3 linked regions of the Macaca fascicularis genome follow. Each later gene encodes a partner of the first gene's protein in a complex. Links are inferred from orthologs where the notes say so. Each region holds a gene or a part of one and is shown in the gene's direction. Other genes may lie near its edges.

What was found.
Region 2: the proteins of SLC3A1 (region 1) and SLC7A9 are in contact, whole or in part, in a cryo-EM structure (PDB 6LID), measured with the Homo sapiens proteins. The link is inferred for Macaca fascicularis from reciprocal best matches to the Homo sapiens genes SLC3A1 and SLC7A9. Residues at the interface, in NP_000332.2 of Homo sapiens: Pro64, Tyr65, Ala66, Gly67, Met68, Pro69, Lys70, Leu73, Phe74, Phe76, Ser77, Tyr82, Pro85, Arg86, Phe90, Thr93, Val97, Leu100, Ile101, Ala103, Thr104, Ile107, Ile108, Ser111, Cys114, His201, Asp202, Thr373, Glu374, Pro375; in NP_001119807.1 of Homo sapiens: Cys137, Phe140, Tyr141, Val142, Gly143, Cys144, Pro147, Ile149, Val150, Cys153, Leu154, Ala156, Ala157, Leu160, Phe161, Thr164, Leu168, Thr279, Thr281, Asp295, Arg296, Tyr299, Tyr343, Val346, Arg347, Lys467, Thr470, Met471, His472, Gln474.
Region 3: the proteins of SLC3A1 (region 1) and SLC7A13 are in contact, whole or in part, in a cryo-EM structure (PDB 8WK6), measured with the Homo sapiens proteins. The link is inferred for Macaca fascicularis from reciprocal best matches to the Homo sapiens genes SLC3A1 and SLC7A13. Residues at the interface, in NP_000332.2 of Homo sapiens: Pro64, Tyr65, Ala66, Gly67, Met68, Pro69, Lys70, Leu73, Phe76, Ser77, Arg81, Tyr82, Pro85, Arg86, Leu89, Phe90, Thr93, Ser96, Val97, Leu100, Ile101, Thr104, Ile107, Ile108, Ser111, Cys114, Leu115, Glu194, Asn195, Asp202; in NP_620172.2 of Homo sapiens: Ile120, Phe123, Phe124, Pro125, Ser126, Cys127, Leu132, Pro133, Cys136, Leu137, Leu139, Ala140, Met141, Trp143, Ile147, Arg151, Lys187, Thr265, Arg267, Asp281, Arg282, Glu450, Cys454, Tyr455, Gln457, Leu458, Leu459, Phe460, Asn461, Ile462.

The regions. Positions count from the first base shown.
Region 1 is NC_088387.1:77,738,267-77,744,493, reverse strand, and holds part of SLC3A1 (amino acid transporter heavy chain SLC3A1), read left to right. Parts: intron 1-4,005; coding exon 4,006-4,173; intron 4,174-5,286; coding exon 5,287-5,403; intron 5,404-6,227. UniProt on the Homo sapiens protein: Acts as a chaperone that facilitates biogenesis and trafficking of functional transporter heteromers to the plasma membrane.
Region 2 is NC_088393.1:40,135,351-40,142,281, reverse strand, and holds the start of SLC7A9 (B(0,+)-type amino acid transporter 1), read left to right. Parts: upstream 1-2,684; 5' UTR 2,685-2,763; intron 2,764-3,820; 5' UTR 3,821-3,931; coding exon 3,932-4,018; intron 4,019-6,931. UniProt on the Homo sapiens protein: Associates with SLC3A1 to form a functional transporter complex that mediates the electrogenic exchange between cationic amino acids and neutral amino acids, with a stoichiometry of 1:1.
Region 3 is NC_088382.1:95,959,733-95,965,959, reverse strand, and holds part of SLC7A13 (solute carrier family 7 member 13), read left to right. Parts: intron 1-4,187; coding exon 4,188-4,549; intron 4,550-6,227. UniProt on the Homo sapiens protein: Associates with SLC3A1/rBAT to form a functional heterodimeric complex that transports anionic and neutral amino acids across the apical plasma membrane of renal epithelium.

The DNA.
Region 1 (6,227 bases):
TTACACCTTTTGTTCAATTTATTCGTAAGTATTTTGTTCTTTTGATATTATTGTAAACTGAATTGTTTTCTTAATTTCATTTTTGGATTCTTCATTATTAGTGTATAGAAATACAATAGATTTGTGTATATTGATCTTGTATCCTACAACATTGCTGAACTTGTTTTTCATTTCTAATAGTTTATTGTGAATTCCTGAGGAATTATTATTTTTTTGAGGCAGTCTTGCTCTGTTGCCCAGGCTGGAGTGCAGTGGCATGATCTTGGCTCACTGCAAGCTCCGCCTCCCGGGTTCACGCCATTCTCCTGTCTCAGCCTCCTGAGTAGCTGGGACTACAGGTACCCGCAACCACGCCCCGCTAACTTTTTATATTTTTAGTAGAGACGGGGTTTCATCGTGTTAGCCAGGATGGTCTCAGTCTCCTGACCTCATGATCCACCCACCTCGGCCTCCCAAAGTGCTGGGATTACAGGTGTGAGCCACTGTGCCCGGCCTCCTGAGGAATTTGTTGTTTTAAAATTATGGCAAAATATGCATAAAACATAATTTTAAACATTCAAAAGTGTGTAATTCAATGCATTAAATACATTCAAAATGTTGTACAACCATCACCATCCCAAACAGAAAATCTGTACCCACTAAACATTAATTCCTCACTCCCACCACTAACCCGATATCCTCCATTCTATTTTCAGCCTCTATAAATTTGCTTATTCTAGGTACCTCATATAAGTGGAATCATAACAATATTTGTCCTTTTGTGTCTGCCTCATTTCACTTAGCTTAATGTTTCCAAGTTCCCTTCATACACACAATAGCATGTATCACATCTTACTCCTTATGACTGAATAACATTCCATGGTACCTATGTAACACATGTTTTCTATTCATCTGTTGGTGACATTTGTGGTTTTGCCTTCTTTTGGCTACTAGAATAATGTTACAAACCAATGGTGTACAAGTATCTGTTTAAGCCCCAGATTTCAATTCTTTTGGATCTATACCATGGAGTGGAATTGCTGGATCACGTAATACTTCTTTCTTGTTTTTGTTTTGTTTTTTGAGATAGAGTCTCACTATCACCCAGGTTGGAGTGCAGTGGTATGATCTTGGCTCACTGCAAACTCCACCTCTGGGTTCAAGTAATTCTTATGTCTCAGCCTCCTGTGTAGCTCAGATTACAGGCGTGTGCCACCATGACTGGCTAATTTTTTTTATTTTTAGTAGAAATGGGGTTTTGACATGTTGGCCAGGCTGGTCTGGAACTCCTGGCCTCAAGTGATTTGCTGCCTTGGCCTCCCAAAGTGCTGGGATTACAGGCATAAGCCACCGTACCCAGCCTTTTTTTTGGAGACAGGGTCTCACTTTGTCACCCAGGCTGGAATACAATGGTGTGAACATGGCTCATGGCAGCCTTGACTTCCTGGGCTCAAGCAATCCTCCTGCCTCAGCTCCCACCAAGTAGCTGGGACTATAGGTGCATGCCACCATCTCTGGCTAATTTTTGTATTTTTTGTGGAGATGGGGTTTTGCCATGTTGTCCAGGCTGGTCTTGAACTCCTGAGCTCAAGTGATCCTCCCGCCTTGGCCTCTCAAAGTGTTAGGATTGCAGATGTGAACCACTGTGCCCAGCCTTGGATCATATAATAATTCTCTGATTTTGAGGAACTACCAAACTTTTCCATAGTGACTTCTCCATTTTACATTCCCATCAGCAATGCATGAAGGTTCCAATTTCTTTTCATCCTCCCTGACACTTTTCTGTCTTGTTTTTAGAAATTATGCTCATCATAGTACATATGAAGTGGTATCTCATTTTCTCATTACTGAATAACAGTTTTGCTGGATATAGAAATCTTGGTTTACATTTCTTTCTTTCATCAGTTCGAATATATCATCCCATTGCCCTCTGGCCTCTATGGTTTCTGTTAAGTCAGTTGCTAATCTTATTGAGATTCCTTACATGTGATGTACCAATTTTCTTTGCTCCTTTAAAGATTGTGTCTTTCAACGGTTTGACTGATAGTGTCTAAGTGTGGGTTTTTAAAAATTTTGTCCTACTTGGAGTTCACTGAGGTTCTTAGATACACAATTTTTTAAAAAATCAAATTTGGGAAGTTGTTGGCTATTTTTTCAAATATTGTTTCTGACCATTTCTCTCCCTTCTCTCCTTTTGAGACTCCCACTTTGCATATGTTGGTATGCATGATAGTATCCCACAGGTTTCTGAGAGTCTGCTCTTTTTTCTGAGATAGGGTTTTGCTCTGTTGCCCAGGCTGGAGTGCAGTGGTGTAAACATGGCTCACTGCAACCCTGACGTGCTATACTCAAACAATTTTCCCATCTCAGCTTCTTGAGTAGCTGAGACTACAGGTGCATGTCACCATGCCTGGCTAAATTTTTAATTTTTTGTAGACATGGAGTCTCACCATGTTGCCCAGGCTGGTCTAGAACTCCTGGGCTCAAGCAATCCTCCTGCCTTGGCATCCCAAAGCACTGGGATTACAGGTGGCAGCCACAGTACCTGGCCTCATTCTTCTCTATTTTTTCTTTCTGGTTCTCAGGCCAGATACTCTCAATTGACCTGTCTTCAAGTTTTCTGATTCCTTTGCTAGTTCAAATTGTCAAGTCCCTCTAGTAAATATCTCACTTTAGCTATTGTACTTAACTCTAAAATTTTAATTTTTTCATAATTTCTCTTTATCTATTTGATAACTGTTCATATACTTTAAATTCTTTAGACACAGCTCTTTTCTTTGAATATCAAAATATTAGCTGGTTTAAAGTCTTTGTCTAGTAAGTCCAATGTTTGGTCTTCCTAAGCAACATTTGCTATTGACTGCCCCCACCATTATATGAGCCATATTTTCCTGTTTTCTTTCCCTGTTTTGTATATTTGTTGTTGTTGTTAAAAACTGGACATTTTAAGTAGTATGACAATTCTGGAAATCACATTCTTCCTTTCCCAGTGTTTGTTGTGCTCTATGTCCAGAAGGCTTGAGAAATCAAAGGGTTTCTTATCAGAAGATCTCATGATAGAGAAAAGAATAAAAAGATGGAGGCAAAAATTGACCTAATTTTCTGGCCATAAATATAAAAAAATACTTCACAATGGTCTATAAAAACATAATTATAAAGATCATTTTCATACATCCTAGGAAGTTAAAAAAAAAAGCAACCTCCTATTTCTTGAATTGTAGCAATTAAGTCTTATCCTAAGACTCAAGTTCAAATGCTAGTTCTGTCTCATACTACTACTTGAATAAATGATGCAATTTCTCAGAGCTTGTTTCCTCATTTGTAAAATGGAGATAGTACTTGCACTGTTGTGTGAAGGAGGGAAATATAGGTGTGAAAGTACTTTTTAAAAAGTAAAGTGCCATGCTCAGCCTATGCACGTGAGGGTTTGAGTTGTGGGTTATGGAGAGTTGTCAGGTGATTTAAATAAATTCTTATTTAAACAAACTCTTATTTAAATAAGGGCTAGAACATTTAACATGGAAATATATTTACAAATAGAAAACACTTTATAACATTTCATCTTGGACTATGTAAATTCTTTCCAAAAGTTGATTTACTTTAAAAATTTTGTCCGAATAGTTCATAAGTCAAAACAATTTTTTAAAAGAGGACACGTCAGAAGTCTCTCATGCCTGTCCTTTCACCTTGTTCCATTGTCTTGCTCTCTGCAACAGTTTTGTTTCCTTTCCTGTCAATATTCTCTTATCCAGATATGAGAAAATATGACTATGTATGTACCCTCTGAGTTTTATTTGCAATATCATTGTAAATTCTTACCACTCTTTTCTTGCTCATCAGTGGCCAAGATAATAAATTGGTCACTTACACAGCAAATAGCAGGCCTAGGACTCAAGTTCAGGCTTGCTAGTAACAAGGTACCATATCTACTTTGTTCTGCTACCTGGTGAACTTTCTGTGAAATAGGGTAAATCTTTCAGAAAACTGTGTTATAGAGCTGTGTTCTTAAAAATATCTGCCTTTCAGATTGGTGGACCAGACAGTTCCCGGCTGACTTCTCGTTTGGGGAATGAGTATGTCAACGTGATGAACATGCTTCTTTTCACACTGCCTGGAACTCCTATAACTTACTATGGAGAAGAAATTGGAATGGGAAATATTGTAGCCATAAATCTCAATGAAAGCTATGATACTGTAAGTTGAATACAACTTGACTATTCATCACAGCTATAAAACCAAGTATTCATTTTTTATTTTTTGCCAAATCAGAGAACTTACTATCTCTCTATTCCATTGTTGAAAATCATGGTTACTTTGCTTTTCTTTCTTACTGTTAGTAGGAATTCTCAGCTTTCTTGGCGGTTTGAGAGCTTATTTTAAAAATGCTTTTGGAGCCACCAACTAAATTTCTTGGGTAGGGCATTTTAAAGATGTTTTCTACCTGACAGGCACATTAAAATTTATTTATTTATTTATTTGCTGGGAATACTGTGTTGAGAGGCACACTAAAATTGGAGAACCAGTGGTTTAGTTTAGAATATTATTCATTTCCCTCTGCTTGAAATGTGGAGTTAGGAACACTTATTTCTTTAGTTCTCATTTGTCCTGTTTGGTCTTGGGTGACCATAGCACAAAGACCCTTTCTTTTCTGTTATCATGTGCAGTGCACAGCCTCAACGTCAAGCATTTTTTATTCTGTAGCTATAGATTTCAGAATTGTGTTGCTGTGTAGATGACTGTCTTGCAACTTTAATTTGCCTGGTTAGCCTTCAATTGTATGAGATCCAATTTCCCTAATATTTGATTAAGGTGAAGCTTTTTTTTTTTCTATTAGCTCCTACATTTGTGTGTGTGCACTCATGAGCAGTAACCAGGCTGAATAAATGAGCAGAATAGAATTCACACTCACTTGTACATGGCAGTGTTCTTAAATTCACCATCACTGTACCACAGAAGTCATGTATATTGGTAATAGCACACTTTGAAATCCTATATTACTGATTTTTAGGAAAAAGCAGCAAAGATTTCAAGCATGTATTAAAGTTCAATTTGTATTGTCTATTCAAACTCAAAATGTTAAATTAGTATTGTCTATTCAAACTCAAAATGTTATTAGGTACTTTCCAGTTAAAAGTGTGAAACTGGTTTATGTACCTATTGTTAAGGCCTTTTCATCACAAATGCTAATGAGTACAGACACTAGCTAAGAACTATAGGGAATTAAATAATTATGAAGTAAATCAGGACCAAAGTACATTTCTTTTAATAACCAAACCACTGTTTTCCCTTTCTGGTCTTTTGATATAGAATACCCTCCACTCAAAGTCACCAATGCAGTGGGACAACAGTTCAAATGCTGGTTTTTCTGAAGCTAGTTACACCTGGTTACCCACCAATTCAGATTACCACACTGTGAATGTTGATGTAAGTATGAGTGAAAATTTTATGTTGATTTTAGAAACAAGAAGTGGGTTTCTACTGAAAGTACACACTCACCCTGAATGTGTCTAAACCTTCACAGATACTCTTTACATCAATCAAAGACTTCCCTTGTAGTTTTCAATTTGTAAGGAGTTTGTAAATCATGCCTTTGTGAAAATACAAACTGGTAGAAATCTACCAAGTGAAGTGAAGTATCATACAGAATATACAAGTCTTCATTAGAATGACCTTTACTAAGGCCTTTGAGCTATGAAGGAAATTTTATAGAAGTTTTTTAGTTAGCCCAGCTACCCTTCCTCTTCTCTTCCCCTCAAAATGTGGTGAGAGAGGCGTGTGGGTGGATAGGCAGCCACACAGGCAGGAAGGAGATCATCAACCCAGAGCAAGGCTCAAATCCACACTACTGTTCTGAAGAAACAGAAGCCATACATGATCCTTGAAGTGGTTGCTCTGGTATACTAATACCACTTTGGCTTTTGCCCTTTTTTCTGTTCCCACAATGATCAAGCACTAATATCATTCAGTAGCCAAAACTTCACTGGAAAACAAACTAAATCAATTTAGGGGAAATGAAATTATAGATGCCACATGGAGATGCTTAAGAAATGCTAAGAAATGCATAGCACAACCCCCACCCCCCTGCTGCACGCACACACACACACCATGCCCCATCCCAGTCTACTGAGTAATCTGAGGAAACTCCCCAGGATATTCAGATACAGAAAGCCACACAAACCCTCATGCTCCCACAGCTCCCTGCTACAAACACCACTGAGAATTCCTGGACAGTATAAGCTTTGTTTTAT
Region 2 (6,931 bases), on another chromosome or scaffold:
AACATGGTGAAACCCTGTCTCTACTAAAAATACAAAACTTAGCCAGGCGTGGTGTCACACATGTAGTCCCAACTACTCGGGAGGCTGAGGGAGGAGAATCGCTTGAACCTGGCAGGTGGAGGTTGCAGTGAGCTGAGATCATGACACTGCACTCCAGCCTGGGTGACAGGGCAAGACTCAGTCTCACAGAATAAATAAACAAAATGGTAAAAATGACAGTAGGATTTGCACTTTGGGAGGCCGAGGCTGGTGGGTCCCTTGAGGTCAGGAGTTCAAGACCAGCCTGCTAACATGATGACACCCTGTCTTTACCAAAAACACAAACATTAGCCAGGCATGGTGGTGGATGCCTGTAATCCCAGCTACTCAGGAGGCTGAGATAGGAGAATCGCTTAAACCCAGGAGGCGAGGTTGCAGTGAGCCAAGATTAAGCCACTGCACTCCAGCCTGGGCGACAGAATGAGACTCCATGTAAAAAAAAAAAAAAAAAAAAAAAAAAATTGACAGCAGGGAGGTGAAACTTCAGCCACATGGCAGAAGCACTGGATACACAATGAACCAACAATCTTCAAGAACTGAGGAAAATTTTGCTTTTTAAATCAAATCTGTATTATTTTCCATGAGGAAGAGCTTATGAGAATTACTTGAATACTTTCTGTGTATTCAAGGGAGAGAGAGGGTGGGACTGGGGTGAAAAACACAACTTTAAGAAACAGGCTTAAGAAATGCTCACCGTGGACCCAAAATGAACTGAAGTGGAGGTTTCTGACTTAACGAAGGACCCTCACACCCTGACGTTCCAAACTCGGCACTTGGCAGAGGTCTATTCCTGGACATTCATGGAACACGCAAGTTCAATGTGTTCCACGAGGAGGCGCCTGTTGCTAGCCCCGCTTTGCAGATTCAGATCCTGATCCTGGCAGTGCTGCCTGAGCCCATGTGGGGAGTGGGTGAGGTTGCAGGGCTGTCTGGTGTCTGGCCCCAGCAGGGGACCACTGCCCCACCCTGCCCTCCTCATGTGGTCTCCTGTCAGCCCGCCAGGAGCACGTTTCCCCAGGGAGTATTCTGTGGTGTTTTGCAAACATGGATGTGCCAGGTGCTATGACGAGGCTGCAGCATTAGGAGGAGTGACCCCAGCAAGCCTGTGGGCAGGTTCTGTCTGGGGGTGGCAGGACCTGCCGCCAGCCCCTGGCGTCTACTCTCCAGCCTCTCTGCTCAGGGCTCTGGGCATGGCAGGCAGGTAAACAGGCTGTGCCCTCCCAAGATGGGAGGTAATGAACTTCTTTTTTTTTTTGAGATGGAGTTTCGCTCTTTTTGCCCAGGCTGGAGTGCAATGGCACGATCTTTGCTCACTGCAACCTCCGCCTCCTGGGTTCAAGCGATTCTCCTGCCTCAGCCTCCCGAGTAGCTGGGATTACAGGCATGTGCTACCATGTCTGGCTAATTTTTTGTATTTTTAGTAGAGACGGGGTTTCTCCATGTTGGTCAGGCTGGTCTTGAACTCCCGACCTCAGGTGATCCACCCGCCTCGGCCTCCCAAAGTGCTGGGATTACAGGAGTGAGCCACCGCGCCCGGCCTGGAGCTGATGAACTTCTAAATCAGGTTCCTGTGCTCTGCAGACGGCTTTGAGAGAAACCTGTGCCTCTCTCAGGTCTGCTTGCCCCAAACTGTCCCCCAGAGACTCGCCCAGCTCCTTCCACCCCTGACCTTTGCTTCCATCCAATATCTGGGATGCAGTTAGGTTTGCCTCGAGGCAAAGCTACCAGAGTTTTGGCTGAAGATAACAGCTACAATGCTTCACACGCAGTGCTTATGCTGTGCCAGGCTGTCCTAACTGTCTCATAAGGTGCTTCCTTCCCTATCTGAAAGGGCTTAGTGCTGACCTCTGAGGCTGCCGCCTGACCCAAGGTCCAGTCGCAGCGCGGGAGAACCTCTGCTCCCTCCCGGAGACATCCAGACCCTGGCAGCCCTGGATGGGGACCGGAGCTTCCTGGCCATGTGTTTCCTGTCCCCCCATAGGCCTCTGTTTCCCCGATGGGGAAGGTTTTGTGTCCCTTGTGTCTGATGAGCCAGGACAGGGCTACGTGAACAGCACCACAGCCAAATCTGATGGGCATTTGGCCACAGCTGCAGGGAGGACGTGGGGGCCTGCACTGCCTCAGGCCTGCTCATGGCTCCAAGTGGTGAAGCCCCATCACTGGTAAAGAGGAGTGGGACGGGCTCAACCGCTCTCACCTGCTCAGCCAGAGGCAGGCCTGGGGCTTGGGGGAATTTCCTGGGCAGGGAGGAAACTGACAAACAGCTGAGTTACACACACACAGCAGTTCCTGTTTGAGCTGCCTGACTTGGGTTTTAAATATAGCCTATTAAAGCAATTAGAGAATTGGTTCCAAAGTTTACCTCCTCTGATTCCCAAAGATAAAAGAAGGCATAATTTATTTTATCTTTAGGTAAAAAGTGTAGATGATTTGGGACTATCTGGTTTTAAAAAAATAATCTGACCTAGACACAAATGAACAAAAACAGTTTTGGAGAGAAATTGGTCTGCCTCACCCTCCCCTTTTTGTGTGGCGTATCTAAGCTTCATGGCTAAAACAAAACCAAAAAAAAGGTGTTTAATAATTACCTTTATTGACCTCTGTACCTTCTGGACTTCCTTCACTCCTGGGCACAAGACATGGCCATTCCTAGGGTTGGACCGTGCAGGCACGGGCGGTCAGCTGGGCCGCAGCTTCTCCGGCTCTGCAGGGTCACGGAGGAAGGTAAGGTCCGTGGGTGATAGAAAGGCTCATGGCTCTCCTGGCCGGGGCCTGGACAGAGAATTTATTTAGAGAGAGGGTACAGTGGTGCATGGTTACCTCCTAATTCAGTCTGGAACTGGGTTTCCTTGGCAATGTTTTCATTCCTTTCATCACTTAATGAAAAAGTACCTGGCCAGGCGCGGTGGCTCACCCCTGAAATCCCAGCCCTTTGGGAAGCCAAGGTGGAAGGACTGCCTGAGCCCAGGAGTTGGAGGCCAGCCTGGGCAAATAGCGAGACTCACATCTTTACAAAAAAAATATTGTAAAAATTTAAAAAGTACAAAGAAAAAGTACCTGTATTGTATTGTGGCTCTGTGATGTAGGGGAGTGTCTTTAATCTTGGGAAGGAATTATAAGACACACACTCCTTACCTGGACTTGATTCTGATAAATACATTCCACAATATTTTCATTTTTAAATTTTTTATATTTTATTTTTTTTGAAACGGAGTCTCGCTCTGTGGCCCAGGCTGGAGTGCAGTGGCACGATCTTGGCTCACTGCAACCCCCACCTCCCAGGTTCAAGTGATTCTCCTGCCTCAGCCTCCTGAGTAGCTGGGATTACAGGCACCCGCCACCATGCCCAGCTAATTTTTTTTTTTTTTTCATTTTGAGTGGAGACGGGGTTTCGCCATGTTGGCCAGGCTGGTCTCAAACTCTTGGGCTCAAGTGATCCGCCCACCTTGGCCTCCCAAAGTGCTGGGATTACAGGCCTGAGCCATTGTGCCCAGCCCAGGATGTTGTTAAATATTTCTTTTAACTTTTGAAAAAAAAAAATGAAGTTGGACCACGGAGGTAGAATAACTTTCAAGGCACAGGCACGTGGGCCAGAAGGCTCCCGGGGCCTGTCTGGGAGAAAGCTAAGCAAGCAGCTGAGCTTTGGAGAACAGCGGGGAGCTGTGTTCCCCTGCCTGGACAGTGTTAATGACTGACTTTGACTCTGGGGCCCAGCGCATGAGCCCTGCAGGACTGGCAGCGGCCCCCGCCTGTCGCAGTAACCAACACTGTGCTTTTGGAGCCAGCTCCCCTAGTCCAGGCCGAGCTTGCACTTGCATCTTGTTTGCTGCTGCTGAACCAAGATTCAGCTGTGCGCCTTCCTTGCAGTCTCCTGGAACCAGCAGGAGGAAACATGGGGGATACTGGCCTGAGAAAGCGGAGAGAGGATGAGAAGTCGATCCAGAGCCAAGAGCCCAAGACCACCAATCTCCAAAAGGAGGTAAGGCGGTCTCTGGCGGGGCGGGCCCTTTGCAGGTTAGGCAAGGGCGTCTGAACGAGGGGCGCAGGCAGTGAAATCCGGGCCGATCCCTAGTGACACGGCAGAAGATGTGCTCTTTGATTTGTGAATTACATCTTTAAAGGGACAATCTCTGGACCTACTTCTTTCCCTCTTTCCCTCTCACCAGGGAACTCTGTATATTCTTTTTTTTTTTTTTTTTTTTTAGATGGAGTGTTGCTCTGTCGCCCAGGCTGGAGTGCAGTGACGCCATCTCGGCTCACTGCAACCTCCACCTCCCCGGTTCAAGGGATTCTCCTGCCTCAGGCTCCTGAGTAGTGGGGATTATAGGCGCCCGCCACCATACCCGGCTAATTTTTGTATTTTTAGTAGAGATGGGGTTTCGCCATGTTGGCCAGGCTGGTCTCGAACTCCTGACCTCAGGTGATCCTCATACCTCGGCCTCCCAAAGTGCTGGGGTTACAGGTGTGTGCCACTGCACCCGGCTGCATTTTTTTTTTTTTTTTTTTGAGACAGAGTGTTGCTATGTCGCCCAGGCTGGAGTGCAGTGGCTTGATCTCAGCTCACTGCAACCTCTGCTTCCTGGGTTCAAACAGTTCTCCTGCCTAAGTCTCCTGAGTAGCTGGGACTACAGGCATGTGCCACTATGCCTGGCTAATTTTTGTATTTTTAGTAGAGACAGGGTTTCACCATGTTGGCCAGGCTGGCCTCCAATTCCTGGCCTCAAGAGATCTGCCCACCTTGGCTTCCCAAGTGTTGGGATTACAGGCGTGAGCCAACTTGCCCGGCCCACATATTATTTTAAGTTCATACCTGGGTGCTTTTGTGTGTTGGGCAAATGTCTAGAGGGGCCAGTAGTTTTGTTCAAACTAATGACCTTTCCAGGAATGGTCAGAAAGGGCCTCTTTTTAAAAAATTAAAAAAAAAAAAAAATTTAGAGACAAGGTCTTGCTCTGTCACCCAGGCTGGAGTGCAGTGGTACAATCATGGCTCACTGCAGCCTCGACCTCCTGGGCTCAAGTGATCCTCCTGCCTCAGCCTCCGGAGTAGCTGGGACTACAGGGGTGCACCACAATGCCCTGGCAAATTTTTAACTTTTCAAAAAATTTTTTTCTGTAGAGGCAGGGTCTTGCTGTGTTGCCCAGGCTGGTCTGGAACTCCTGGGCTCAAGCCATCCTCCCACCTCGGGCTCCCAAAGTGCTGGGATTATAGGCGTGAGTCACTGTGCCCAGCCAGAGAGGGTGTTCTGATGGTTGAGTCCCCTCTAAATGCCTGTCCCTCTTATGTCTGAATGGCTGTAGTAAGGGGAAGTACTGCCCCCAGCATAGCCTGTTCTGTCTTAGAGGCATCTACCAGGGACGGCCGCTCTGAGTTGGGGTGCAGTGAGCAGCTGGGGCTGGCCCTGGGCCTGGAGGGGAAGGGAGCTTGGGGCTGTGGGAAGGCAGAAAGGAGCTCCACACGGGTCACCGCGGCAGGCCCAGGCAGTTGGGAGCAGCAGGTGCTGAGCATGGAGGAGCGGGGAGGGCTTCAGGCTCCGAGGAGGAGGAAAGGCAGCCCTAGGCAAGCTCGGGATGGTTTCCGCTTCCAGGGCAGTGGTGTGGGTGGGGCCTCCGAGAGCTCCCATGCCTGGCAGCAGAGGGGATGGAGGAGGGACCGCACCAAGGCTTTAGGACTTGACCAGGGGGCTGGCAATGGCCTGAATGGCTTGGCCTGGGACTGGGGTCCCCAGGAGGTAGACGATGGGCTGCAGCCCTCTCCCTCTCGGCCAGTCTCAGGCCTGATCTCAGCAAGGGCCTCTTGGAACCCTGTTGGGCCCAGTGGCCACAGAGCACAGCTGAGAAATCCCCAGATGTGTCTTCTGAGCTGGGGACAGGTGTGGCGGCACATGCCTGTAACCTTAGCACTTTGGGAGGCTGAGGAGGGAGGATCGCTTGAGCCCAGGAAATCGAGGTTGCAGTGAGTCATGATCGTGCCATTGCACTCCAAGCCTGGGTGACAGAGCAAGACCCTGACTCTAAAAACTGAAAATCTGAGCTGGGTCTACCCCTCAGTCAGGCAGCTTCAGGGTGAATGCAGGCCTCACCCACATCAGAACCCAGGCAGTCCCTCAGCAGGAGGGAGGACTCTGGAGCCAAACAGGGCTGAGATGAGGAGGAGAGCTGAGCCCTGTCCTGGAAGTGCGTCCTGGCCCTGAAAGCTGACGCTGCTCCCCAGGGATCCCGCTGGTGTGCGGAGAGTCCCCAGGGTGGCAGCCTGCAGCTGGGAGCCCTTCATCCCCTGCAATCTGACTCCAAGCCCAGCCTCTTCCCAGACAGGTGAACACGGGCGCTGGAAACTTCAGGCTCTGGAGATCTGGCTGGGGGCTGCTTCTGAGGACAGGTGTTATGAGTAGAGCTTGAGTTGGACTTTTTTTTTTCATCCTTGATTGGTGTGTAATTTACATACAGTGAAATGTGCAGGTTTTTTTTTTTTTTTTGGAGACAGAGTCTCACTGTCACCCAGGCTGGAGTGCAGTGGCTCACTGCAACCTCTGCCTCGCGGGGTTCAAGAGATTCTCCTGCCTCAGCCTCCTGAGTAGCTAGGAACAGGCGTGCACCAGAATGCCTGACTGATTTTTGTATTTTTTAGTAGAGACAGGGTTTCTCCGTGTTGGCCAGGCTGGTCTCGAACTTGCGACCTCAGGTGATCCGCCTGCCTTGGCCTCCCAAAGTGCTGGTATTACAGGCATGAACCACCGCACCTGGCTGAAATGTACAGATCTTTAGTGCTGAGTTTGGTGAGTTTTGACAGATGTACCACCCCAGAAAGCTCCCTCCTGCCCCTTTCTGGACAGGGTCCCAGCCTTGCATTCCTGTCGCCGTGGATTCGTTTCACTTGTTCTTGAGCTTCACAGGC
Region 3 (6,227 bases), on another chromosome or scaffold:
AAAAATTCTGGTAAACTTTGCCTCAATTCTTATGTTACTGCCCTGCAGGGTGCTGCCATATGGTATCAGTGCTGATTCATAATGGTCTAGGTATCTTAGGCACTTCTAAACTAGATGTAATCAAGCTTTTCTGAGTGTCTGTGAGAACAAACCAAATGCAAAGTCAGATCAGAACAAGCAGTGATTTATTAACTACCTCGATTATGTAAAGAATAAATTTACAAAGTTAATAGTGGGTGTGGTCGGGGCTGCTGGTCAGCTAGCACTGTTGTTATGGTTCGTTGAAGCTGGCGTCTGTTATGACTACCAGTGCTCCATCCATACGGGTTGTTAAAAAGTCATGAATATCTCCTTTGGTGTCATAATGGTTACAGCAATTTTGTAGGCGGCACAATGGTTTTGGCATGTGTGGAAAACTCATGAAGTATTTTGACCATCATCACTTGTAATTTGGCTACAATGCTTATTTTTTAGGCATATCATTTTTAGACTTTTTGTTTAAATTCTAAATTAATGTTTCTGAGTCCAAATATCTGCATGTTTATTGTACAGGAAATTTAAATTAAGAAAAAAATCAGAGTCATACATGAAAAAATACATGTATAGGTATAGTAATCATAGCTTTATGTATGATAGCAAAAATTAAAAATCATAAAAATATCCAATAAACTTGAAACAAATAAAAAATTTATGGGACATCTATATAACAGAATATTCTGTGATTTGTAAAAGATGATATTGTTGATGGACACTTGAAGAAAAGGGATAATGTTTATAATTCAATAATGAGGAAAAAGTCAGGATGAATATAATGATGTAAAACAGTAAATAAGTAGCTAGTAATGGTGATCAACAGGAATGATATTGTATATGATTTTTACTTTATTGTTTGCACTGAATATTACACATTTTCTTTAAGGTGCAAAATTTGTATAATAAGGGGGAACTTATAAGCAAAAGAAATAGGTTTTTTTTTTTTTTGTTTTTTTGTTTTTTGTTTTTTTTTGTGAGACAGAGTCTTTCTCTGTTGCCTAAGCTGGAGTTGAGTGGCACAATCTTGCTCACCGCAACCTCCGCCTCCAGGGTTCAAGCACTTCTTGTGCCTCAGCCTTTTGAGTAGCTGGGATAACAGGCATGGGCCATCACACCTGGCTAACTTTTGTATATTTAGTAGAGATAGGGTTTTGTCATGTTGGCCAGGCTGTTCTGACTTCAAGTGATTCTCCCTCTTGACCTCTCAAAGGGCTGGTATTACAGGCGTGAACCACCAGGCCCAAACCTAGGTTCTCAAATTAAGAAATTTTAAAGATTAAGAGATGTATTTTTTTCAAACAGGTATATGTAAAAAATGTGAAAAGTTCCCAGATGAATATAGAGCATCTATGATATGGCATGAATTGTATGCTGCATTTTATTTAAGGAACATTGAAAGAATTATACCAGGCTGTGATAAATATTAGATTCTAATATTTGTGGTTTACATAGAAAAAGAAACAATGGTATTAATTATGTAACATTTTCATCTGTGTCCATGTCAGAGCTCTGACTTGTTTCTTCACATATTTTCCTCCTAGGGGGGGAAAAAAAAAAGCCTTTATTGTGAATAAGTACCACAACTGAGAAGGGAAGGGTGTTCTTCTAGAACAAGGGGTATGGAAATGACTTAGTGAGGAGCCCTGTCCCAGTTTTGAAAATTGAGGATTTCATTGTTCCCAAAGTCCTACCACAGACTGCTGACAGGGTGCTCACATTTGGTTTTCTTGAGAGTTCCATGCCATATTTAAAACTAGAGAAAATTGGCATGGGACAAGATAATCTAAAACAGTAAATACATTTTATGGAAGCAGAAGCTGAGAAGGTTTCCCTGTCCAGATACAGCCTAAAAGTAGCTGGTCCCAAGTACCCAGATATGGTTAAGAATTTTGGAAAGATAGCCAATGATAGGCAATAAATAAATAAATAAATTAAAAATAATAATAATAAAAGAATTTTGAAGAGAAAGTGAGAATTTTAGAATCATTTATTGGTAAATTAATGCAATTATTTTCTGAGGTCAATTTTGTAACATCATCCTTATTTTAAAATGTGTATACCTTTGGACTCACAAGTCCCACTTCTAAGAATTTACTCTAAGGAGATTTGAACAACTATCAAGAATGGAAGGCATGAGTGCTTTCATTAAAGCCCATTTTATATTAGCAAGAAATTGAACATAAACTACAAATAAAACAATATGAAATGGGTAGATAAAGTCATTGACAGTTATATAATGGAATGCTGAGAATTTGCTAGAATAATTAGATGCATGCAAATGTACCAATAAGAGCAAGATGCACCTGCAAAAACAAGCCTAAGTGAGCGTACACAAACATGCACACTCATACACAACCCTAATCGGTGCTTATACATTCATACCAAATTTCTGGAAGAGGATCCAAACAGCTGTTAATGGTGGTTACATTTGCTGCGCATGAATGGGAGGTTGGTGAAGAGAGGGACATTTACTTTTCACTTTATGTGCTTCAGTGCTATTTATTTTACTTTTCACCCAAAACATATATGAAATCATTTTTAAAAGAGAAGAAACAACATGTGGAAAGTGTAACAAAGAAAAAACATCCCTTATGGCATAGAGCTAAAGATGATGTAGAAAGATGTATCGTTTTTGCCAGCCAGCACTGACAGAGCTGCACCTGATCCTCCTCAAGTTATAACTAACCACGTTTGTAGAATGCACACAGGGAAATTGAAGGGGAATTTCCTTTGCATTACTGGAAATAAATATTTTGGAAATGTGACTGAAAATGTGAAATTTATGGAGGTATGGGTGTCCGGGAAAAACAACTAACAATATCTTCCTGAAAAGAACAATAAATGAGACAGGAGATATTTTTAAGGAAGATCCAAAGTTGTAGAATAGCACTAAGGAAAACAAGTGAAATGGCACTTGAGGCTATTTAAAAAGGGTTACAAAAATTAAAGATCTTTAAGAACAAGGGCTATTAATGATATTTTAATTTTGTCACATTTGGGAAGTCCTACCTTGTGTTACAAGCCAGTATGTTGATGTCCCAAAAGTCCCTCTAGAAACCAACCTTGGTACAAGAGCATAGGCTCCAAGGACACGTACCCCCAGGGACCTCAGGCCCCATTGTGCTCATTCCATTGAAAAACTGAGAATTTGTTTCTCTCTGACCAAGTGATCTGTCCTAGCATATATTCACATAATATGAACTGAATCAAGTGAATTCTCACAAACAGTGGATGCTTTTCTTCACAGGTTCGTTTTTTTCCTGTGGACTTTTATTAAATTAGTACCTGTAAGGTCTCTTATCTTTAAGCAAAAAAAAAAAAAAAAAAAAAAAAAGTAGAATATTCTCTAATGGTTAGTTTCTTAATCTCAGTACCATGAACATTTTATACTGTATAATTTTTTGTTGTAGTGAACTGTCCTGTGCATTATAAGATGTTTAGCAACATCCTTGGCCTCTTCTCACCAGATACGAGCAGCAACCTTCTACCTCCCCAGTTGTGACAGCCAAAAAAGTCTCCAGACATTCCCAAATGACCCTGAGGAGTAAATTCAGCTCCAATTGAGAGCTATCGGTCTATAGAAAAGTCCCAAATGTCATACATATTTTTAATGGTGTGTAATTTATTTTCTTCTTCTACGTGGTTCCTTTTTCTGCGAAGTATTTCAAATTGCACTGTGCTGTGGGAAAGTCTCATTCTGGTGTCAGTAGTGTTGCACTGTGCTTTTTGGCCTCTGAATGTAACTATTAAGACTCTATAAACTAGTTTTAGAAAATAAGCATGGATTCAATCGTCCATTCAACAAAATCAATTCATTTCACAAGTGTTTATTGAAAGCCTACTATATGTCTGTCACAGAGTGAGCCACTAGTTTTATAGAAAATAAATGGATTGTCCTTGCCCTCTAAAACATTCTTGGTCTATTGGGGAAGACATATAAAATGATAACCATTTACAATACAGTGTGATAGGGCTCAAATAGACACCTTTAAAAGGTGTTATGTAAGTGTAACTAAGGAAATAAACAATAAAATTAAGCAAATTGAATGTTATTCCTTAAGTTTATGTTTTTATGTTGAAATAATATTAAAGGGTTTATCATTAGTATTTCTCTTTTAACACGTTTTCTTTTGTGTGTTTTTGTTTTCCTGCAGATGCTGTAGCTATCACATGGGCTAATCGAGTTTTTCCCTCATTGGCATGGATTATGCCTTTTGCTATTTCTACCTCATTATTTAGCAACCTTCTGATTTCTATATTTAAATCATCGAGACCAATATATCTTGCAAGCCAAGAGGGCCAGCTGCCTTTGCTATTTAATACACTTAATAGTCACTCCTCTCCATTTACAGCTGTGCTGCTACTTGTCACTTTGGGATCCCTTGCAATTATCTTAACAAGTCTAATTGATTTGATAAACTATATTTTTTTCACGAATTCATTATGGTCTATATTATTAATGATAGGAATATTAAGGCGGAGATACCAGGAACCCAATCTATCTATACCTTATAAGGTAAAATTTGATTTTCTAATTCTTTTCTGTGTGAAAGAACAGATATTGAGTATAACTGTATTTCAGATTATAATCAAGGCATCTATAAGTAGATCTTCTGAATACTCAGTTATTGTGAAACATAAGAATAATCTGGTCTTGGTTTTAATTTTCATTTTTATTGGCTAGGTTACTCAATATAAAGTCTCTTATATTCCATTTAATGGTTTATTAGAGAGAAAAACAGTTCTCTGGATGGTTAGACAGATCATTATGAGTCTTTTGAACAGATATTATTTTGTCTACTTATGTAACTAGTTATGCATATGAATGTCTTCCACAGTCAGGGTCAGATTTAGCAGATGAGAAACAGAAGAGGCAAGGTGAGGTCACAAGTGATAACATCCACTGTTCTGAAACATCAACTTACTTTGTTGGCAAATTCCAGTCTTTCAACTTTACTTATTTTAAACTGACTTTCAGTCTGTATGAAAAAAATTTTCACAGGAGAGGAGACAACCATTTAATTGTAGAAAAACAAATAAGCAGCAAAACTTGGTAGCATAAGAATGTTATTGGAGAGAGATGGCCCTGACACTGATGATCAGAATAATAAAATAATCTTGGTTGCCTAGGTAGGTTGTTCAAAGCTTGGCTTGGATGATCACCTTTAATCCTCTCAGTAATAGAAAGGTGGATTCTATTGTTATTCCCATTTTACAGATAAGAAAACAGACTTAGAAAAGTTAGGTCACTTGCCCAAGCTCACACAGCGTGGATTAGAGCAAGATTTAAATCTAGGCAGTCTCTTTGGAGTGTTTGACTCTCGCTAAATACAAAATATACGAAAGAACTGCTGAGAGAACGAAAGCAATGTTCCCATCACCAGCTGTGGTTGATTTATGTCCTTCTTTCCTTTCCAGCCTTCTTTTCAACTTCTTCCATCCAGTCATCTCGTAATTGTTGTGTATCTGAGTATTAGTTGTCAAGAGGCAACTATATTTTAAGCACCTTGCTAGGTACTCTGAGTAGAAAAATAATTAAGACTTGGCTCCTGCCTTTAGTCAGGTTATAATCTATCTGCACAGTCATGTAAACCAAAAATCATGGCGTGATGATTGCTACCTAGTGATTTGCAGAGGAAGCTCAGAGAACGCATATGGAGAGAGATCGAATCTACAGCAGGGTTGATGGTCGTAGTCCCCCTCGGATGTGCCTCCCTAACATCTGCTCTCTGTATAGTTTCACATGCTGCATCTTTTTAATGTCTTTTGCTGTTTTCTCACCCACACTTTTGTTAGATCACTGACCCTAATAGATACAATTATAAAGAAGTTATGAACTGGGGGATAAATTAGTTATACACAAATAACAGCATAAGATAATCATTAAGAGCTTTGGGCTCAAGTCCAGTTGCTTGGCTAATAGCTGAGTTTAGTCTTGTTATTGAACCTCTGAACCTCAGTTTCTTCAGATGTAAAATGGGAAAAAATAATACCTACCTCCTATTAGCATTGGATGTATTAAGTAAGCTAAGGCATGCAAACAATCCAGGGTCTGACATTGATGGCTATTATTGCTTATATTATTATTCAACTTACATTTGCATCAGAAAGGAAGGCAAGAACAGCCTTAAGTACAAGTGGCTAAAATTTGTCTTGTATGCCCCCAGGAGTGCTCTTTTCTTTTCTCTCAATTA